Diceros bicornis minor: one gene and its partners. The protein of the gene in region 1 purifies or fractionates together with the protein of each later gene. This does not show direct contact. Links are inferred from orthologs where the notes say so. Each region holds a gene or a part of one and is shown in the gene's direction. Other genes may lie near its edges.

The links.
Region 2: the proteins of ANKRD52 (region 1) and PPP6C purify together in Homo sapiens (affinity purification with mass spectrometry; 6 studies listed by BioGRID and IntAct, with this or other methods). This does not show direct contact. The link is inferred for Diceros bicornis minor from reciprocal best matches to the Homo sapiens genes ANKRD52 and PPP6C.
Region 3: the proteins of ANKRD52 (region 1) and PPP6R1 purify together in Homo sapiens (co-immunoprecipitation; 3 studies listed by BioGRID and IntAct, with this or other methods). This does not show direct contact. The link is inferred for Diceros bicornis minor from reciprocal best matches to the Homo sapiens genes ANKRD52 and PPP6R1.

Annotation. Positions count from the first base shown.
Region 1 is NC_080756.1:12,520,939-12,528,737, forward strand, and holds the start of ANKRD52 (serine/threonine-protein phosphatase 6 regulatory ankyrin repeat subunit C), read left to right. Parts: upstream 1-4,700; 5' UTR 4,701-5,140; coding exon 5,141-5,167; intron 5,168-5,480; coding exon 5,481-5,564; intron 5,565-6,016; coding exon 6,017-6,095; intron 6,096-6,299; coding exon 6,300-6,370; intron 6,371-7,424; coding exon 7,425-7,625; intron 7,626-7,799. UniProt on the Homo sapiens protein: Putative regulatory subunit of protein phosphatase 6 (PP6) that may be involved in the recognition of phosphoprotein substrates.
Region 2 is NC_080767.1:33,595,950-33,603,521, reverse strand, and holds the start of PPP6C (serine/threonine-protein phosphatase 6 catalytic subunit), read left to right. Parts: upstream 1-4,571; 5' UTR 4,572-4,689; coding exon 4,690-4,764; intron 4,765-7,572.
Region 3 is NC_080773.1:33,275,793-33,282,838, reverse strand, and holds the start of PPP6R1 (serine/threonine-protein phosphatase 6 regulatory subunit 1), read left to right. Parts: upstream 1-4,045; 5' UTR 4,046-5,137; coding exon 5,138-5,161; intron 5,162-5,736; exon of another isoform or gene 5,737-6,521; intron 6,522-7,046. UniProt on the Homo sapiens protein: Regulatory subunit of protein phosphatase 6 (PP6). May function as a scaffolding PP6 subunit. Involved in the PP6-mediated dephosphorylation of NFKBIE opposing its degradation in response to TNF-alpha.

The DNA of each region.
Region 1 (7,799 bases):
CAGGAAGCGGCAGCCGGGCGGGTTCAGGGCCCCCGAGCGCAGCGGCGGCGCGGAGCTGCGGCTCCTCTCGCCCTGCTCCCGCCCGGCGGCCGGGTAGGCTAGACTGAAGCCGCGACCGCTGCTCCTGGAGCTCCAAGTACCCGCACGTCACGCCGTTGCCATGGCTCGGGACGGGGAGAGGGAGAAGGAAGGGGACCACGCGGCCTGTCGGGAGATGTAGTTTCACACCTCTGGCGAGAAAGGGCGCTAGAGTGTGTCTCAGAAGCTGCAGAGATGGCCCGGTGGAGCGAGGTCGCCAGGCAAACTACTGTACTTGGCGAGTCTGTGGTCACGGACCTGATGCATAAGCACAGAGGCGACTTCGCGGGCATGTCAACAGCAGATATCTGATCTTTTTTTTTCTAAGTTTTCCATGAGTTTTTATTCAAAATCACAACCTCCCCCCCCCTTTTTTTTTTTTGCTGAGGAAGATTCTCCCTGAACTACCATCTGCTGCCAATTTTCCTCTTTTTGTGTGAGCCGCCACCACAGCATGGCCACTGACAGACGGGTGGTGTAGGTTCCCGCCCGGAAACCGGGCCCAGGCGCCAAAGCAGAGCACACAGAAGTTAACCACTAGGCTTCCAGGGCTGGCCCCTCTGCTGATCTCCTGAACGTCTCTCTCACAGCCTTTATTATATTGTCCCTTGTTTATAGCAGTTAGAAGTTCTATTCATCTTTGTAGCCTCCATAGTGCCTACTGCTGTGCTTTATTTACATCTTTGCAAAAGGAAATTAACTTTCCAAGTTCTGGACTAAGACTTCGCACAATTTTCTCTTTTAATACTTGTAGAAAGAAGTCAGGGTGGGAAGAACCAGACTTACTTTTAGGGGAGAACCATCTTTGTCTGGAATAGTGTGGACTTGATGAAGATTGAGACCTCAAGGGCAGGAACCGGGGCAACGAAATGTCGATATAGGGCCGCTTCTCCCGCCATGCTGAGGCCGCATCCCACATACAGCAACTAGAAGGATGTGCAGCTATGACATACAATTATCTACTGGGGCTTTGGGGGAAAAATAAATAAATAAAATTATATATAAAAAAAGAAATGTCGATATACTGCTTTGCATCATGATAAAAGGAGAAAAAAATCGCTCCTGATAAAAGCAGAGAGAACAAAAGAAAAAAAGAGAGGAGAGAGAAATCAGCAATTAGAGAGAGACTGGATCTAGGTGGGTACAAGAGCCATTGAAATTCTCCGACGGTGGAGTAGAGGAAGGACATTTGAAGAATGGTGGTGCCTGCTGTTGCATTTAAAGATGTTTATGCTATTGCAGTGCAAGCCCCTCCTCTACTTTCTTTCTAAGTCTTTAGTCAAGCTCTCCACATGCAGGAAAGCTTTGTCTGTGTAGTGTTGTGTGGGTGACTGGTGGGTGGGATAAAATAATTAAAGACTGTGTTGCCTTTTAATAGGTGTGGAAGAGAGACATCTTGCCCAGAAACAGGGGCCTGGAAACAGATATAAATCCTCTAACTCCCATTGCTCCTTAAGATTGCCATTAATTTTGAGACTTCCACTGGATATGGATTGATTTAAAGTTCGAGCCCATTTTATCTGGATTTCAAGGAGCGGGAGCCTTCCCTTGAACTCTGGTTTACATTTAACATTTTGTAAGGAAGGCATTTTTATCGTTATTTATTTTTTGGTGAGGAAGATTCGCCCTGTGCTACCATCTGTGCCCATCTTCCTCTATTTTATATGTGGGATGCCACCACAGCATGGCTTGATGTGCGGTGCATAGGTCTGCACCCTTGGATCCGAACCCATGAACCCCGAGCTGCCAAAGCAGAGCATGCGAACTTAACCACTGTGCCACTGGGCCAGCCCTATCCTTATTTATATTCATAATGTATATACAAGAAGCCCCAAATTGGGGAATGATCTCACTTCTTTTTTTCTCCTAACATTTCTTTTTCCCTCAGCACCCTCACCCCCACCCCCAGGATACAGTATCTCCTTCCAGTTCAAAGATGATAATCTGGAGCCACTCTCAGATGGGCATGTGACCTTGAGGGACAGATTCACTCTTCCCAGCCCTACTCTCCTGTCTGGCCCCACTCTCTCTGACTAAGGGCTCACACATGGGAGACAGCCATTTAGAGTGAGGAGTAAGGATCTTGCTGGATAAAAGACAGAAATTAACTGGGATGCATGACTGTACCGTGACCTCATTAACGCTATTCCTTAACCGAGTTAACTGCTGCAGAATCCCCAAGGTACAATAGGCCTGCCAAGCCAATTTGCTTGTTGTCCCCCTACTAATTAGATTAGCTAATTACTGCCATTTAAACTTTTCCTAGTGCATTCCCTGTACTTGAAACAACCAATTTCCTGCCATTTCCCTGTCATTCTACATCAATAACTTCCTTTAAGTAGTGACTCAAAACGCACCTCCTCCAGGAAGACCCTCTTGACTGAACCCATCCCTCAACATTACTCTGAACACATAATGCCAGGTAAAGTAGCATGTATCCTATATTCTCTAGTTGTTTCATAAGTATACATATGTTCTTCTATTAAGTTATAAGCGCCACAAAAATAGACACCATTACTCCTAAGTTTCTACCTCCAAACCAGTTAGTATATGGCTGTACACAATGGTGAGTCTTCAATCAACATTTCTTAGAAGAATGAAAACTGAGGCTTAAAGACAGGCAGGCATCTGCCTAGAGTTACCCGGATATGAAGTCAGTAGTCAAATCCAGAAGGACTGTCTGCATAAGAGGGCTTTGCCACCACTTCAGGCCTCCTCCTCCCCCACCCTGTGCATCTCCCTGAGCCCTGGAAGTATCTGTGTTATGTATATCATATCCCTTTTTTTCCAACTGGGAAATCCTCTTTCTGTGCTCTGAGTAATATTAAAAATAACTCATCTAGCCCTTCCTTCTTCGTCCAGCTGTCCAGAGAACCCAGCTGGCAACCTCCCTTGTTCACCTCCACTCCCACACCAGAACCAGGCACGTGACCCCAGCTCAACCTCTGACTCCAATTCCTCAGGTTACCAAGAGCTATTTCAGGCAATGGAAGCCACGTAGTCCCCTCCTCCCCATCCTCTGGGTCATATCCTAGCTTAGCCCTTCCTGAAAGATCCATCATATCCAATAGCCAAATCAACATGTCCCAACACCCATAGCCATCTGATCCCCAGCTACCTTTAGTTTCTACTTCTTCAACCTCATCTTCGTCATCATCATCAAATATTAAGTTCCTGTTCTTAGAGCTACAAAGAATAATTTAATATATACTCTTGCCTTCAAAGAGCTCAAAATCATTTTTACATAGAAAAGAACCCCAAAACAATGTACAATCCTGTGCTGGAAGACTCTGGCTAACAAGGAGTTTAAAATCCATTCTGAGGGCTGGCCTGGTGGTGAAGCGGTTAAGTGCACGCCTTCCACTTCGGAGGCCCGGGGTTTGCAGGTTCAGATCCCAGGCACGGACCGGATGCACCGCATATCAAGCCATGCTGTGGCAGCATTCCATATAAAGTAGAGGAAGATGGGCACGGATGTTAGCTCAGGGCCAATCTTCCTCAGCAAAAAGGGGAGGATTGGCAACAGATGTCAGCTCAGGGCTAATCTTCCTTACACACACACACACACAAATCCATTCTGAAATGTTGGACAAGGGAATGTCAAAGATGTAAGGTGGAATGAGCAACAAAGGTGTGCAGTTTAAACCTGACTGTGTCCGACAGTGTAAACTGAGTATTACATACACTATTACATTAACACTTACAGTGTTAAGGAGACCTAACAAAAGGGAAAGAACCTGTTAACCAGGGAAGACTTCCTAGAAGAGGTAAGTTTTAAGTAATATTGTAAATTTTATTTTCAATGTGATAAAAATTCAAAAAGTTATTAAAGGTATATAGTGACAGGTAAATTTCCCTCTCACTCCTCATTCCCTGTCCCCTAGTTTCTCTCTCCAGGAAAAAGCACTGGTACCAGTGTCTTGTGTATCTTTCCAGTGGGAATAAAGATATTGAAGGCAATGAGAGGCATAGATTGTTGGAGAACAAGGAAGGGCTTTTATACCTATGCCTTGACAGGGGGCCGACATGCTACACTTCTTCCTAAATGTGTTCCTTTCTTAGAACACATATATTGAGTTACTGAGCTCTGAACAGGACCCTGAATCACCTTCTATAAATTGTACCAATTTGTCAATATCCTCTTTTCTTCCTCCTTCTTTTTGCCTTTCTGGCCTGGGATGGCCTCCATCCGGATCTTGCCTGATTGGCTGCTCTCTGGCCTCTTCAATGGAGGAGGGGAAGCACCCTCACCCTTTTCTGAGACGAAGGCATTGAGCCTTTTAAAATGTAGCCACCTTACCACCTTAACCTGGCAATGGAGTAGAGAGTCGAAAAGCGCCTCTTCTGTTGACCTTGGAGACCTTCTCCAAGCTGCCAGCTGTCCTAGCCTCTTTGTGGGGGTTTTCTGCTGCTGGAGAATCTTTCTTGGGATTTCTCTCTGCAGTTTGAGCACTTTTGCTATTTCCTTTTTACCCAACTCATGTCACCGCCAGTAGAGATACGCGCCTTCCCTCCCTCTGGGGCTTTGCCATATATACTCCGCGGATCTCCACGCCCCTGCTTCCCCCGGTCTGGGAGGGATTTGGGGTGTGTAATCGCTGACGGGAGGAGTCAGCTCCGGCCGAGGCACTGTGGGCTGGGTGCCATCTGGCCAGCCGTTTGGTCCGCAGGTTGGGAGGCACCGTAGGGTCAAGGCCCGAGTTGCCGCTAGGGTCTTGTGGGGAGCCCCCGGGCCGCCAGACTGGAGCGGAGAGCCCAGTGCGGCCAGCCTGGGCACCAGGGAACCAGCGCGCGCGGTGCGGGCACCGGGGCGGCTCGGGCCGCCAGGGCGGGGCGGAGGGCGCTGCAGCCCCGGGCCATCTGCGCGGCGAGCGCCCTGCGGCCGGGCCCAGGACGGCCGCCAGGGAGCGCTGCGGGCTCCCGCTCGCCCGCCCCCCGGTAGGCGGGGCCGCGCTCTCCCCGCAGCCGCCGCCGCAGCCGCCGCCTGGGCCGCCCCGTGTCCCCGGTGGAGCCACCGCCGCCGCCGCCGGGAGCTCGATGCGGACAGAGCCCGGGCCGGGCCATGGGGATCCTCAGCATCACGGACCAGGTCAGCCCTCTTGCCCCCGCCCGCTTCCTCCTTCCAAGGCCCGGCGCCGCCGCCACGCGAGCCCGGGGATGTGCGGCCTAGGCTGGGCCCGAGCCCGGGGCTCCCGCGGCTCCCGCCCCGCCCCACGCCGTGCTCCCCTCAACCGAGCCGGCGTCCTTGGGGGCCTGGCGACCGGCGGAGACACCGCAGGAGCCCCCTGCAGCCAGGACCCCAGAGCAGAGCCTCTCCAGCGACGCCCCCCTCAAACCTGGTGTCCCCGCCAACCCCCCGGTTCCGCTCCGGCCCGCTCCCTGAACGCCGGTTCTCCCTGCAGCCGCCCCTGGTCCAGGCCATCTTTAGCCGAGATGTGGAGGAAGTGCGCTCCCTCCTCTCGCAGAAGGAGAACATCAATGTGCTGGTGAGTTAGGATCAGGGAGGATGACGAGCCGGTAATCTGGGCCCTGGTGTTCTGGACCCCTCCCCACCAGTGGGGCGGCTCCGTGTCTCCTCGGCTCGGATGAGGCCGCAGCTCTTTCCACCCTGGGATGGGCGCCTGCTCTGCATTTGGGGATGGAGGCTTGGAGCACAGACCAGTAAGGCTGAGGATGCCCAGAAACGGTGTTGTCTTCTGAACCATCAGTGTCTGCAGCGCCCCCACCGCTCCTGGAAGAAGGAGACTGGTTCGCGGGCCCAGGGGCCTGACTCCCTGACTCCACCCTCCTTAGGTGCTTGCTTTGACCTAGGATTGGGATTTAGGAGGCTGCAGAACCTGTGGGAAGAGGTCGTGGGGAAAGGCCTGGAGCTCTAAGGCTTGGGCTGGGGTTCTTGATACTTCACCCCCACAGCCGCTCCTCCTTTCTGCCTTCCCAGGACCAAGAGAGGCGAACCCCACTGCATGCTGCTGCCTACGTAGGCGATGTCCCCATCCTCCAGTTGCTACTGATGTCAGGTGAAAGTGGGGAGCTGAAAGGTGTGGCACCTAGGGAGGGGACCTGAGGGAGGAGCCTTTTTTTTTTTTCATACCCCAGGATTGTTCTCTGGTGCTTGGTCCAGGTGAGCCTCCATCTCCACCCAGATTCCCTGGCCTGATTACTGGCTTCCTTCCCCACCTGCTTTCCACCTCCCACCAAAAGAGGAAATTATATCCCCACAGGTGCTAATGTCAATGCTAAGGACACACTGTGGCTGACCCCTCTTCATCGTGCTGCTGCCTCCCGAAATGAGGTACTGGCCTCCTACATCCTTTCAGCCTTCTAAAGAGGATGAGTTGGTTAAAGGTGGAGATTTAAGGGTTGGAGAGCCTCAGTCCTCTGCCCTACAAGCTGGTCTACCCCCAGGTCGGTAGGAGACCAGACCTTGTCCCCTCCCTCCTACCCCTAGAACTGGCTAGTAAGGGGGGCTGAGGGTTGCCAGCTGATGTGACGTCAGGGGAGAGCTTAACACTGGGCTGGCAGACTGCAGGGGGCCCTGCTGCCTGGCCTGAGTGACTCATCCCTCCCTGGGGGGCTACCTTGGAGTCTGATCCCCCTCTGGGCACTGAGATTCCTTTCCTTATGATGGGGTGATGGAGGGATGGAGTAGTGATCTGTTGCATCCCTGGCCCTCAAGCAGTGTGACAGTTGACAGCACGGGAATCAAGCATGCCTCATCAGTTGGGTCTATCAACTCTGAAGAGCGGGGAAAGGAGACCTTCCTCTTGGTTCCACAGTCACTTCTGTGGCTCCAGCCACCAGGGGGAGGGACTGAGGCCAGTGGGACTGGGGAGGGTGGTGACCAGGAGGAGCATTTTAGCCTGGGTTTTGGAGAAGAACCGGTATCTGTTTGCCTACCGAGGTAATGGAAATGATTTCGGTGCCTATGGAAGGGCTGAAAGAGGGGATTTGAGGCATTAATGTAGCAGGAGTGTTTGTTTTTCCTAGTAGTGAGGGATTGGGATCCTCTACATGTGGATTTGCTGGGTAGTGGCTGTATGTGTGGGTGAAGATTTTCAGGGTCTGGGTTGGGGAGTGATATCAGGTGGCTTGAGGAAGAGGAGGGATCCATGTTTTCCTAGCAAGGAAGGGACAATTTTAAGAAGATCCAGATCTTAGATCCAGAAGATGGGGAGTAGGTATTGAGAGGCTAGGCATGTTGGAAAAATGAGAGGAGACTCTGTGGTGGGGGGGTGGGGAGATGGGGCCACATGTGCCATGCTGGCCTACTCTTCCCACCGTTTCCTGTTGCCTCACCTCCTGCCTGCCCCCCCCCATCCTCTCTCTTATCTTCTGTCTCTTCACAGAAGGTGCTGGGATTGCTGCTGGCACATTCAGCAGATGTGAATGCCCGGGACAAGCTGTGGCAGACACCGTTGCATGTGGCTGCCGCCAACCGGGCCACCAAGTGTGCTGAGGCTCTGGCACCCCTGCTGAGCAGCCTCAATGTGGCTGACAGGAGTGGGCGCAGCGCCCTGCACCACGCAGTGCATAGTGGTCATCTAGAGGTGAGGACCGCTCCAGTCCACGCCCAGCCTCATGCCTCCTCTCTCCTTCCTGTCCTACTCACCTTCCCTGCTCCTGGGCCATCAGGCCTGGGGAGAGGCAGCCCAGATGATTGTATCAACACTCAGGCTCAAGCACCGAATGAATGATCGGGTTAGATTGAAATTCTTGACTTG
Region 2 (7,572 bases), on another chromosome or scaffold:
ATCTCCCTGCGAAGTCTTGAGGCCAGTTCAAGCTTTGGCGCCTTAAACAGCTGACATCCCATAATTAGTGTTTGTAACTATGGCAGGCACTATGCTGAACCAGACAGACATGGCCCCTGGCCTCCTGGAGTTTACCATCTAACTCGAGAGAGAGATTAAACAGAAAAAGCAATAACCAGATACATTTGTAAAAAGTGCAAGGAATAAAAAGTTCATCCATGAGTATCTACTCTTGAGGAAGTTACTTTTCTCTGGGCGTCTGTCTGTAAAATGGAGCTAATAAGATTGTTGTCACAAGGTGATGAGGAATACATGAGCTAATTCATGTATATAAGGTGTTCGGTGCGCAGCGCAGAGCTGGTCCTCTGTAAAGTGTGGTGCTATTCCTAGCTATAAATGAACTCTAGACACCAGCCCTGAGTTAGACGTGTTCATATGCATTATCTCTGGTCTCCATCATAACCATGGCCCTGTGGCTTCCTGAAAATGGAGAGGTGGCTCACCTATGTCTATGTTTCAGAGACCCTGGTGATCACTTAGGAGGACTGGGACAGTCGTGTCCTAGGAAACAGAAGAAATCGCTAAGGAAGGAAACCGCAGGAGCTCCTGGAGTCCAGAGCTGTGGTAGCAGAGTGGGAAGCAGTCAGACACACTCCTGTTCAAACCCAGGCTCCAGCACTAACCCTGACATTTGGCAAGTTCATTACCCTCTCTGAGCCCTAGTTTCCTCATCTCTAGAATGGGAATAGTAATACCCACCTCAGGGAGCCGTAGAGAGGATCTGATAGTACAAGTGAAAGGCCAATTTGGTGAAATCTTTTAGCTACTTTCTGAAACTATAGCAAAAATTTATTGACATAATGGAATTCGAGGTCTGCAGCTCTTCTCACTGCTCAAATATCCTATTTCAAACACCTCAAGTCTTTGCGAGTTCCCATATTAATGGAAAAAAATCCCCATTGACTGCCAAAGGGGAGTTTAGGGAATATTCAGTCATTCTGCTCTCCTTCAGGAAAGAACACCAAGGCCAGGTGGGCTCTGCCATACATCCATGTGCATCTAGATGGAGATTTCTACCCAGAGCTGCAGAATGCTCTGACAGCCCCCGTGTCTCTCGGCTCCATCCATTTCACAGTGCCATGCTGGAGTTGCACAGAAACAAGAAACATTGGAAGAGGTTTGTGGGCAAAATGGCAACCAGTTTTCATCGTGGGACCTATGCTTTTGGACTACAAATCGTATTTCAGAAAGTGCTGGAAGGAAATTTTGAGATCTATTTTTAAAATGGAAATGGAGGCTCAGGGAAGTTAAAGTGACTAACCCACATAATGGCAGAACCAGGAGCCCAGATCTCCTGCTTTGTGCAAGGAAGACTTAGAACATGTTCCAGTCAGCAAGCTCTGTACACTCTCTCGTCTCCTTGCCAAACTACCCAGTGTGTCTATCACCTCTCCCAAGAACTCACCCAGCACTCTGAGGGACGCGTCCCTCCTTTCTCTCTGCTGTGGATGTCAAGAGTCAGGTATACTGAATGAGGTGAGTCTGCAGGAGGGAGCTTCTTACTGCCATACAGTTTGGTAATGTGAGGACTGCCACCTTTCACTGGAAGGGGACACCACCTGCTTTCATTGCCTACCTGACTTATCAGCAAGGGAAGCAATGATACTGGGCCGGCCCTGTGGCTTAGCAGTTAAGTGCGCGCGCTCTGCTACTGGTGGCCGGGGTTCGGATCCCGGGTGCGCACTGACGCACCACTTCTCTGGCCATGCTGAGGCCGCATCCCACATACAGCAACTAGAAGCATGTGCAACTATGACATACAACTATCTACTGGGGCTTTGGGGGAAAAAAAAAAGGAGGAAGATTGGCAATAGATGTTAGCTCAGAGCTGGTCTTCCTCAGCAAAAAGAGGAGGATTAGCACGGATGTTAGCTCAGGGCTGATCTTCCTCACACACACACAAAAATAATAAATAAATAAATAAGCAACGATGCTGGTGACACCTTCCTTTTAAGCACTTTACAGTTTATAAAGAATATTCATATCCATCTTCCTATTTGTCTTTCCTCCCAGTTCTTTTTCTTTTTTTTTTTTTTGTGAGGAAGATCAGCCCTGTGCTAACATCTGCCAATCCTCCTCTTTTTTTTTTGCTGAGGAAGGGCCCTGGGCTAACATCCGTGCCCATCTTCCTCCACTTTATATGGGATGCCGCCACAGCATGGCTTATCAAGCAGTGCGTCAGTGCGCACCCAGGATCCAAACTGGTGAACCCCGGGCAGCCGCAGCGGAGCGTATGCACTTAACTGCTTGCGCCACTGGCCAGCCCCCCTCCCAATTCTGAGAAGGCATCTTGAGTAGGATTCATTTCCAGTTACTGAGGTTCAGAGATGAAAAGTGAATTGCCAACTTTCCAAAGAGGACTATTAAAAAAAAGTCAAACAACAATAGCATCTTTTCCTCATTTGGATATTTTTCTCCAAGAAACTCTGAGCATATTATCCCTTGACTTTTTTTTTCTCTAATGTCTGAAATGTTACCTCTTCAGGAAGGCCTTTCCTGCCCACCCAATACTCAGAGCAAACACATTGCACGCACTCTTACGTGATATTGTTTTAAGCCCTTTCCAAATATTAACTCCATTAGATCTCAGTACAAGCCTATAAGGTAAATATTATTATCTCCATATGAGGTAGGCACTATTATTATCTCCATATTGGAGCTGAGAAACTGGAGCACAGAGAGGATAAATAACTGCCAAAGTCACACAGTGAGTAACAGAGCCTGGACTTGAACTCTGGCCATCTGGTGCTCGAGTCTGCACACTTTTCCTCCACTATATTGCCAACCTAAAGTAGGCCTCTTCTACTCCATTTTTCTTGCACTACCCCTTCTTTCCCTTTTTAGCACTAACCACACTTTGAAATTAATGATTTGCTCATTTATATGTTTATTGTTTGTCTCCTCTATTAGACTGTAAGCCCCATGAAGGCAGGGATCATATCTGTCTCATTCACGTCATAGGTACGATATAACTATTTGTTGACTAAATAAAGAAATGTATGCTTGTGGGCATCATTCATTCTGCAACAAACTTTGAAAAATTAATTTTACTTTGAAACAATTTCATACTTACAAGACAGTTGCAAGAATAATACAAAGAACTTCACCCAGAGACCTCATTAAAGTTTAGCCAAATGTCCCCAAAATACACTTCAGAGCAAGAGGATCCAGTCCAGGGTCACTTGCACAAAAAATATTTATTGACCTCCTGCTCCTATTGGATTATATAACAGTCTCCTAACTGGTCTTTCAGATGCAACCATTGCTTCCTACAGTCTCATACAGCAGCCACAATGATCCTTTTAAAATGAGTTAGATCATGTTACTCCTCAGCTCAAACCCCTGCAATAACTCCCCATTGCATTAAAAGTAAAAATCAACGTTTTTTTCATCTCTCCTATTCCTCTCACCTTGCTCAACTACACTAATCTTCTTGCCATTTCCCGAAGATTCTAGACATGCTTCTATCTTAGGGCCTCTGCATCAGCTCTTCACTATAATTTCCCTGAAGTATCTGCATGGCTAACTCCCCCACCTCTTTGTTGGTTCCTAAAAATGCATCACCCCATCTCCCCTACCCTGATGGTTTTTTTTTCCCTTGCACTTATCACTAATATGCTATACAGTTATTTATTATATTTATTGTTTATGTTCTGTCTCCTCTACTAAAATGTAGCTACGAGTTGAGGATAGGGATCTTTGTCTGTTTTGTTTACTGAATATCCCAAGCGCCTACAACTGTACTTGGCACATAGTCGGTGTTCAATAAACAGCTGTTGAATGAATGAACGTAAAGGTATACTAAGTGCCAGGTCCTGTTCTAAGCGCTAGAGGTACAACAAAATCTCCTCGTCCTCCTGGGACTCACACTGAAGTATATTTAAACCAGACAGACCTATGTTCCAATCTCGGCTCCCTGCCTGTTCCCTGTGAGATTTAGGGAATGTTACTTAACCTCTCTGAGCCTTGCTTTCCTATCAATCGTTATGAGGATTAAACGGAAAGCCAGCATTTGTATAGCATTTAGCATAAGAAATGCTTTAATATTTGTTTCCCTTCCTTCCAGGCTGGAAGACTGGTAGCCTGACATCTCTGCCACAGGTTTATGCAAGGTTTTCACAAAACCTTGAAAAGGTGCAAACAGGTTATAATGGCCAGGCTTACACAACTTTTAACTGAAGATGTTCTGGTGAGAGAATGCTTAATAGGGTCAGAGTGAGAAACCAGGGAATGGCTAGGGTCACCTACTTCGCCGTTTTGCGTTGGAAAAGCCTCGCTGGGTGCCCAGAGGTGAAAGTCTGCAAGAAAGAAAGGGGAGGAAAAGAGGAGTAGCTGGCCACTACTGAAAACTACAAATCCCAGCACTCCCCACGGCAGACAACTACGGGTCCCAGCAGGTTTCACTGTCTGGAACGAGGCGGCCTCTAGGGGCGTGCAGCCTGGGTTCAGCGGGAGAAGGTGTGGGGCGGACCGAGGCAGCGGGGAGAATCCGGTCAAGCTTTACGCCGTTGCGCAGACGCCTCTCACGGGCCGGACGTGACGTAGGGAGAGTTCCGGCTTCGGCCTCCGCCGCTGCCGCCGCTACTACAGCAGCCGACGCTGCTTCCGTCGGGGCTTGTTATTTCTAAAATGGCGCCCCTAGACTTGGACAAGTATGTGGAGATCGCGCGGCTGTGCAAGTACCTGCCGGAGAACGACCTGAAGGTGAGCCTGGCCGGGGCAGGAGCGCTGCTTGCGGTGCTCGCCCCTTCCGGCAGCGGGGCACCCGCCGGCCCGCCCTTCCTCCCTCCGCGGGACCCCCGCCGGCATCCCGTCCCGTCCGGTCCCGGTGGAGGGCCTGTCGCGGGGCGAGGCCGCCCGGTGCGACTCGGCGTCGCGCGGAGAGCGGGGGAGCCCGAGTCCCCCGAGTGCTGTCCCCGTTCCCTCAGCGGGGATCCCGCGGGATGCAGCGGTCTGTGCCCCAGCCTTGCCCCTCTTGGTCTCCGGGCAGCCCCTGGGCTCCGAGCCCTAACAGCTTTGCTTAGAAGGCTCCTCTCCCCTAACCCCTTACCCGGGCTCCGGGAGTCTGAGCCGAGCCCCAGCGGGCAATGCCTTCGGGATGGGGTCATCCCCCAGAGGTGGTGACAGGAGCCCGGGTGGCCGGCGTCTGACAGGAGATGCCGCCGGCTCCCGGAACGCGGCCCCCGTGTGTGTAGGTTTTTGGGGAGTGGGACGAGGGTGGGCCAGAGCTGTTGGGTAGAGATGTGAGAACGTCCAGTCGTTCCTCTTTCCGTCCGTCTTCTCCCAGTTGCTCTTTAGGAGTGTTGGTTTGCGTCTGCTAATGCAGATGGGAATCCCGTTTTGGAGTCCCTTGTTGAGCTAACTTAAGTGGATAAAGTAGTAGGCCCTCAATAAATACAAATACTTTTCTGTTCCCCCGTAAATTTCTGAGTGTAATTTAGTAAAGGAATGTCAGTCTTTGGTTTACTGCTCTTTTGACAAGTGTTTTTCTGCGTTTGTTAAAACCAGTGCTTAGGTGTCGAGCAGTGTTGAGCCAAGTGCTAGTGTCTGTTTTATTCGTTCAGTTAACTTTGATTTGCTGTGTGGTGAGTGGCTAAACTGTTGATAGTTTTGCGTTCTTTTTATTGTTTAGGCTGTGGGTTTAAAGTAATTTGTCTTTGTGAATTCTTCCTCTTAACGAAGATGTTACTGTTTTTTTTTTTTTTTTTTTGCTGTCTTTTTTGGTACAGGAAGTTGATATTTAACATCAGTCAACAAGTATGCAAAATGTTTAAGGCCACAGGAGCTGTTGTGAATGTAACTTACTTGTACTCACTTGTTAATTATACGTGCTGTATGATAGGGGAGTCATTCTTGTGCATTTTCCCCTTTTTGGTAGGATAATTTAGTTAAAATGAAGACAGAGCCAATATTAGTAGAAATGTAGCTTTCGTGCTCATCTGAATCCTTCAAACGTTAGTTTTGTGGCTTCTTTCTGCTATACGTTTTTTTAGGAAATGAGGGTACCACCACCATTGGCACCCAGTTCATGGAAAACTAACCAGACATTTTTTGGTAGCACTGTTAATCGCGTAGGTGAAGTTGGTTTTTGCATGTCAGTGAATTGATGTTGAATTTTCTGTTCTTTCATGTATGTAAAGCTGTTTAAGCTTTGTGTTTATAATGAGTAAAATGTTGCTTATTGCTTTAGGCTTCTTAGTTTGATAAACATTAGATTTCCTTCCCACCTTAAGGAAATATAGTTATTAAACCATTTCATTTCCCTTTGCAACACAGTTGGACTGTACTTAGCATGTATCTGTTTCTTTTTTTTTTTTAAAGATTTTATTTATTTATTTTTCCCCCAAAGCCCCAGTAGATAGTTGTATGTCATAGTTGCACATCCTTCTAGTTGCTGTATGTGGGACACGGCCTCAGCATGGCCGGAGGAGCGGTGCGTTGGTGCGCACCCGGGATCCGAACCCGGACCACCGGCAGCGGAGCGCGCGCACCTAACCACTAAGCCACGGGGCCGGCCCAGCATGTATCTGTTTCTTAATAAATTTTTTTTTGTTAATTTTCTGGACAAATGGGAAAAAAAAGAATTCTGACTTTTTCTCTATAAGTAGAGGCTTTTCTTCTTTGTCTTGGAAATGTTTTTATCAGATTAATTTGCTTGCACTGCTCATTTCTGGTATATTTAAAGAAATTTAATTTTGTTGCTACTTCTTGGCATAAAGTACAGACTAAATTTAGGCAGACCAAGAAAGTATTCCAGGAGCACCTTTCTGGAGGTTTTAAAGCCAAAATAAAAGATTCTATCAGAGGAGGAAAAGAAGTCATTGGGGCTACTTAATGGTCATTATGGAAAAGATTTGTTCTGGTAGAAGAAAGAAATTCACCTGTGTTTTAAATTGACTAGAAGAAGTTGCGAGTACTAAATAAAATAATAAATGTGTAGGATGTTCTAGGTCTAATCAGGATTTCTCTATATTTAAGTTGGAATTGGTCAGATCACTAGTACTGGATCGAATCTACATAACTGGAAGGAATAAGGGTGAAATTTGTGAGAGTAGACCAAAGCGTAACCTTCTTTTCTTAAAAAAGAGCTCATGTGATTCTCATCCACAATAAAGATTTCAGAGCAGATCATGGAAGATACAGATTCCATATCTGGCCAAGTGGAAGAATGAATGATAGAAAACAGGTTTACAGAATACTTAAACTTCAGTATGTTGGCAGGAGAGGGCTTCTGTAATTTGGCGATTGTCTGATCTCTTGGGCAGTTCTTAAAGGTTGAATGTAAGTAAAGTTGCGCACTGAGTTGGTGTTCAGTTTTTTTACTGAAGAACTGAAGACAGTTGTGGTATGGGTTGGGAGAATACTAGTGTCTGTCTCAGAGATGCAACACAAGGAATTATGTAATTCCATAGTAACCACTTATGGATTAATAGTTAATGTCGTCTTTTTGGAACTCACTTTTATGTTTAGTCTGAGCCACCTCTGAGTTTTTCATATAAGGCTACCTGCTCT
Region 3 (7,046 bases), on another chromosome or scaffold:
GGCAGGTTCACACAGCCACGATTCAGACCTGGGCTAAATCCAAAGCCGTGCTTCTCCTCCCGGTTCCCTGGGTTACTAGCCCCATTTGATGCCAGACTAATTCCTCTCGTGTGGAATTTACTTGTACTCTTCGGATTTTGGAGGGACAAATTATTTTCACCCCTCTTCCCAAATTCAGAATAAATCGAAAGGTAGCTACAGGATCCGAGAATTGGAGATCAAATATTACCTTTATTACTATTAGAGCCAATCACAGAAAGTGGCTTTAGTCTTGCTGCTACTTCACCCTGGCGTTAGACGTGCTTGCTCGCCTGGTGGCAGGCAGCAGTGGGCAAGCAAAGGTGTCCCCTTGGGTGCAGGGAGCAGGCCAGACACTGGGCAGGCTGGCTCCAAGAGGAGGGAGAGCTGGAAGGCTGAGCCATGATGCCCATCCAATCCGGTGAATCATTCCTCTGCCCCTGGAAGGGTTGGAGAGGCCAGGAGAGAGACAGTACGCAATAGATATTCCTCCATATGGAAATGTGAACAGTGGGGGAATGAGCGTTCCCACTATACACTTGAAGAGGCCCCTTCAATTCTAAGACAAACAACAGCATTGTCTACCTGTGAGTTCTGACAGGCTGGAGACCCAGCCTTCAGCCCTTAAAACCCCTGCCGCTTCCCAGGTTCTTGCAGACTGACTTCATCAGCTACTCAGGTTCCATTTGGTGGTTGAATATGGCCACACACACAGCCCCTGCCCCCCGCCCCCCAGTTCCTGAGGATACGTGTTAAAACAGTGTGGCAACAATCAGACTGGAAAAACAGCAAGCCAAATGCTGGGTAAAAGACAAAAGATGTAGGAGAAAAGATGACTCAAGGAACAGAAGGAAATGCCTCACAATTGCTTCAAGCTGTACAACAACAGGAACCGAGGTCCATTTTAAAACAAGACCTCAAAGAGGAAAAGGTAAGATTGGCAAATCTAAGGAAACAAATTGAGGACTGTGCCAAATTAGATGGTTCAGCAAATATTCATTCTCTTCCATTCCAGCTTCATGAGAAAAGTACACTTTCCCACCCCATGGCGGGTGGAGTGCAGGTGCCTGCCCCATGACTTGGGGCTTGACCATGTGACTTGCTTCTACCAATGATGGTGGCAGATGAGAGGTGACCTGTGACTTGAAATGTGCTAACAGTTGGGCTTGATCTCTTGTGCTTCTGCCTTCCCTTATGAGATGGTGCCCTCGGGAGCCCACTGGTTCCAGATTATGAGAGACGTGAGGAGTGGGAACAGCCTTGCTGACCTTCACACCTGCAATTCCAAACCATGAACATGATACATGCCACCGAGGCTGTGGTTGTTTGTCACAAAGCAGTAGCTAACGGACACAAGGACCAAAAACCATCATATGTAACAAATACACTGGAAATAGCAAGGACCAGGAGAGACACGGCTGAAAAATGAAATTATTGACGTGGTAACCAGTGAATGCAGGTGGAAATGACAAAGATGAGAGCAATTAGAAGCTAACAGATGTGAAGGACAAATGCATAATTGGCTTCCTTGAAACAGAGGACAACCAACCAGAACCTGAAAATGTACTCAAACACATGATTCAATAAAATGTCCCTGAAATGAAAAAGGTAAATCTGCAGGTTAAAAAAAAAGTAAAAGTTGAGTCCTTACACACATTTACTCAACTTATCCTTACAGTGGGCCTGTAACCTGGTGCAAGTTGGGGAAAGTGAGGCTCAGAAAAAGATGAGACCTTAATGCATAGTGATACAAGGTCTAGGAGGATCCTTCCAGTCGATGTTGTTAGAGGATGCTTTGTTAGAGGACACTGGCAACAGTAAAGACACGGCCTGGGCAACCTAGAGGTGGGACTGAAGTCCCCTTGAAGCACAGAGAAGGCGTCGAGAGAAAACCGGGCGAGACAGAAGCGCTTAGCCTTGGCTGGAGAGAAAACCCGGGATGGATTCCCCAGGAGCTCGACCCTGGAGCCACAGCAGGAATATGATTGGAGGAGACAGAAGAGCGCATGGATTTCTAAAAGGAGCGAGTGGGAAGAGAAATCCTGGAGCAGGATTTTCTCTGGACTTTGGAACGGAGTCGCAAGAGAAATGCCACCGGGTGTGCAGCAGCGCCTGCGCATTGAGCTGTCTGGGTTTATTCGGGGAGAAATGGTTGGAGCAAACTGGCGCAAGCGCATCTGCAACGGAGATGTTCTGGCTGGGCGGCGTCTAGAGCGGCTGTGCCCAGCGCGCACGCGCACTGCAGGATCCGGGCGCGCGGCCTCCGGGCGCTTGCACACCGAGACGGCGGCGAGAGGGCGGGGCCTCCTGCGTGCCCCTGCGCTAGGGGGATTGTGGGATAGTGGCGGACGGAGACGGGCGTCGGAGGCCCTGAAGAGGACTGGAAAGCCCGGAGACCTCGCCGGTTTGGGGAAGGGGAGGTGGAGGAAGTGCGCCTCGACTTCCGTCGGCCGCTGCTCAGCATTGCGGCCTGTTCGGACTGCGGAGGACGACGTCTTCCCCGACCGGCGTTTGCTTTCCTGCGGGCGCTGGGCCGGGCCGGGAAAACCGCGGCGACTTCCCCGCTGAGGGCCTGCGCGGGCCTCGCGACCCTGCTAGCCTCCTCCGGCCCCCAGTCGCGGCTCGCGCCCACCTCGCCGGCGGCCCCGGACCCACCCCCGTCCCAGCCGGCGCCGACCCCCGACACCTGGAACTCGGCTTGCGAGGGCCCCCCTAGCCCCGAGGGCGCGTGCGCGAGCCCCGGCCCGGCCGCCTGCGCGAGTCTCCGCCGCGGCCCCCCGCCCCCACATACCGGGCCTCGGAGCAGGGGCCGGAGCCGCCGGCGGCGGGGCGGGGGGGGCGCCCCGATGAGCCCCGAGTGCGAGGAGCCGCCGCCCCCCCGCGCAGGTGAGCCGGCCGCCCGGGACCCTCCGCCCGTCCAGGCATCCTCAGTCCCCGCTCCGCCCGCCCTCCTGCGCCCCGCTTAGGTACCCCCGAATCTGCTCAGCCCTTTCTCCTTTGGGCCCTTCATTACTTCTTGGGCATTTCCCTCCTCCAGTCTCTTCCTCCTCCGCCCCTAAGTCTTCTAGTCTCTCCCCTCAGCCCCCCAAGTCTCTCAGTCTCTGCCCCTCGGCCCCCCAGGTCTCTTAGTCTCTGCCCCTCGGCCCCCCAAGTCTTCTAGTCTCTGCCCTTCGGCCCGTCACGTTTCTTAGTTTCTGCTCCTCGAGCCCCCAGGTCTCTTAGTCTCTGCCCCTCGGCCCCCCAGGTCTCTTAGTCTCTGCTCCTCGGCCCCCCAAATCTCCTAGCCTCTGCCCCTAGGCCTCCACCCACCCAGCCAACGTTCCCCAGTCTTCTCCCTTTGACCCCCGCACCTCCATTTTCCCCACCTTGGGACTCAACCCCACTCTTTTCTCCCCTGGCCACTCCCTCTCAGACAGCCTCCTCTTTTTCTCCTCAGCCCCTTCCCCTTGGACACCCCCTTGCCCCTCTTTCTCTGTCGCCGGCTGTCTAGACCCCAGCTTCTTGGGGACTCGCACTCTTGGTCAGGACGACTGGATAGTGGGCCTTCCCCTTCCCTTGACCGTGGCTCCCCCACCCTGTGTTTCTGGCCTCTTGTGAGGGGGACCTTGAGAGCCAGCCCTCTGGAACAGCCGCCATTCGATCCCACTTCTGTGAGATGAGCCTGCTGAGGGCAGGGCAGGGAGCCTGCTGCTGGGTGTGAGGGAGGGGGACCTGCCTCTGCCGTGTCCTGGGGAGACAGAGGCAGAGGGACAGTCACAATTACTGGTGTTGTGATAGAGGTAACTCAGGGCGCCACAGGAGGCCACAGCCGAGGGACTGGTGAGACTGGCTCAGCGGGTGGCTTTTTCTGTCTAGGAAGGATGAGTAGGAGTTGACAGATGGAGAGTGGGAAGAAGGGCCTTCCGGGTGGAAGGAACAGCACGTGCAAATACGTGAAGGTCTGTGCGCTGGGGTGCAGATGTGTCGCGAGGGAGTGGGGCATGACACCTGCCGGGGCTGCCTGTCCGGGCCCTTGAATGTGACCTTCTGGTGAGGGTCTTCCTTGCTTGCTCTTTTGCACACCTGTACGTCTGTGCTGAGGATGCAGATGTTACCGTTAACCAGAAAGGCAGGATGTTTCTGGAAAGGAAGATGTGTTGTCAGGTGTGGTACGGGGTTCAGAGTTGTCAGGAAACTTCAGTGGGGTGTAAAGTGGCACCGACATCGCTGCTCTCTGCACAGGGTGGCTCTGGGGACCCATGCGCTGTTGGCAGAAGTCTGTAGCAGAATGCAAGGCACAGGACGTGCTCCAGGATCAGTAGCTTCTAGGATTGTTATTTGGTTTGGGGTGGTCTCTTGCAGTGCGTTTTCAGCTGGGGGTGCATGTGTCCCCCAGGGTTCCTTTGGCAATGGCGGGAGACAGTTTCAGTTGTCACAGCTGGGAGGTGCTACTGGCATCTGGTGGGTGGAGGCCAGGGATGCTGCTCCACATCCTGCAGTGCACAGGACGGCCCCTACCGCAGAGGGTGACCCGGCCCCAAATGTCACTAGTGCCGCCTGGAGAAGCCTTGCTCTCTCGCTTGGGTATTATCTGTACTTTTGGATTATCTGCTCTGTTGTCATCCGTGGGGAGCTGTGTATTCTGAGTTGTGTGTTTTGATTTACTCTTGTGTTTTTGTTGGGTCATCTTGTGTGTTTCTGTTAGAGGAGAACCTGCTCATCCCCCCAAAAAACTTTTTTTCACGATCTCTGGCCAAGTGACCTTAGCAGGTCACCTTCTCTCTCTGGACTTCAGTTTTCATTAATTCAACAAGTACCTCTAGCTGTGGGCCTGGCCTGGTGCTGAGTCCTGGGAAATTGGCATCTTCTGGGGGAGACAGGTGATTGAACAGGCAGAGCCTGTCACACAGCCGTCAGGTGCTGTCGTAGGGTGACCACGGAAGCCAGGGAAGCGTGGAGCAGGCCCTGAACACAGTCAGGGGAGGCTTCCTGGAGGAAGTGGTGTCTGCGCTGAAGCCTGAAGGACCCACGAGGAGCTAGTGAGGCTCAGAGAGCTGGAGGGAAGGCAGAGGGAGCAGCTGAGCCAGGGCAGAGGCGAGGGCGCGTCCAGCAGTCAGGTGTGGCGGGAGTGTTGGGCGCCATGCGGGTTGCAGCAGGAGAAGAGGTGAGAGGCCGGGGAGCCTTGGAGAGAATGAGAAGCCTTCCTGTTGCACCCGGCTCTCAGGCAGGCTCGGCCCTGGGGGTGGGGACGTGCCCTCCTTTCCGGGCCAAGCATGGTTTTCCCTTTGAACCCCGGTTTACAGTAGCTGTGAGGTGTCTCAGGTGAGGAGACTGAGGCTGTGTGGGTTAGGTCCCTGCTCGAAGGCCACGGAGATTGACGTTTGGAGAGACGAGGTTGGCCCCCAGCCTTTCTGACTCTGGATCACTCTGTAACACTTGCTCTGCTCCTCTCTGTTTTCCAAGGGCTGTTTCAAAATCTATGCCTTGTTCTTTTCCTTTTTTTCCTTTGAACCAGTGACCGATCCAGAAGAGGGTCCTGATGTGAGCTCTCGGCCCCTCCTCAGTCCTTGGCCAGCTGTCCCCAGTCTCTCCTATTTCCTAATTACTCCATCCCCTGGGGTTGGACCAGACTGCCACCTCCCCTGGGAGGTGTGCTCTGGGGTCAGAGGGGGTGGCGCCTAGGGTATCCCCTCACTGGGGACCCCCTCAGGCTTTCCCGAGCCATGGGAAAGTCCCAGCTCATGGTCCTGTGTGGCCTTGGCTGGGTCTCTCTCCCTCTTTGGCCTCAGTGGCCCCTTCTCCCAAGTGAGCGTCCCGCTGCCTCCCTTGCTGGGTTCCGCATCTGGCACATACACCAGGTCCTGCTCGGAGGTTATGGGGTCGCCATTACCGTCATCCCATTCTTGGAATCGGGAGTCCCCCACCCCCTTTCCAGATTTGGCCGAGAACTGACAGTGGATTGGGGGAAGTTAGAGGAGGGTGGTCTCGCTGTCCTCTGACCCACCCTGCCCTGCAAGGGCCTGAGGGCTGGCCTGCGGGTAGTGGGTTCCCTCCCCTCCTAGGGCTCGCCTAGTCCATGTCTCATTAGAGCTGTTGTGGGCCAGTGATGGCTGAGGGTGGCAGCAGTCAGCAGGCCTGAGATGGCCTCTCCCAATGCTGGCGCGTCTACCGAGCCTCAGGGCAGCTCAGGTGGCCGCCTCGGAGGCCCTCCCAGAGGCCTCTGCGCCCTTGACCTTCACTTCCGGGTGCTTTAGGGACAGGGCAGGCTAGGAAGGGGTGGCAGATAAAGGATCAGCCCACAGGCCCCCTGGCAGGCGGAGCTGTGTTTGGACAGATGGTGGCAGCAGCAGTAGCAGCAGTGACAGTGGTGGTGGCCTGCGGGAGCCTCAGTCGGACCCTGTCTGAGCCCAGGCAGGGGCAGGGGCTGGCAGGATCCTGAGAGGGGCAGCTGGTATCGGAGGCCTGAGCACAACACAGCAAAGCAAGAAACCCGAGGCGATGGTGCAGAGCTGGCGCAGGGAGAGGTAGTTTTCTTTTTAATGGCTTCCTTTCTCATTTACAGTTTCCCCTTCTTCCGTTTGCAGCCGGAGTCATGGTTTTCAAACGGTCGCTAAAAACCAGTGGTAGTCACTTCCGTTTTCTTGAAGTTTGCTAAAAGTTGCAAAGGGTGGGGGCAGCGGGGTGCGTGGCGCCCGCCAGAGTATTTGAATGACCTGACTCACTCCGGCAAATGGGGAGTCTTCTGTTTTCAGTGCCGTCACCCCTGGGGTAGAGGCTGTTTCCGTCCCTCCTGCTGCAAGTGTCCAGGCTTCTGCGTGGCCGCGGGGACAGACAGGAAGGGGCCAGCACTTGCCAAGCCCCTGATGTGTCAGGACCGCCTGCCTCAACCCGGCTTCTTCTCACAGCACGGCCTTGCCCGGTGGGCTGTGCCCCCGTTTCACAGATGAGGACACGAGGCTCCCGGATGCCAAGTGCCAGACCCAGGTTATGCTGTTAGAGAGTGAAAACGAAAGCCGCCTCTCCTGTCCAGTCCCAGGGCTTCCAGCAAG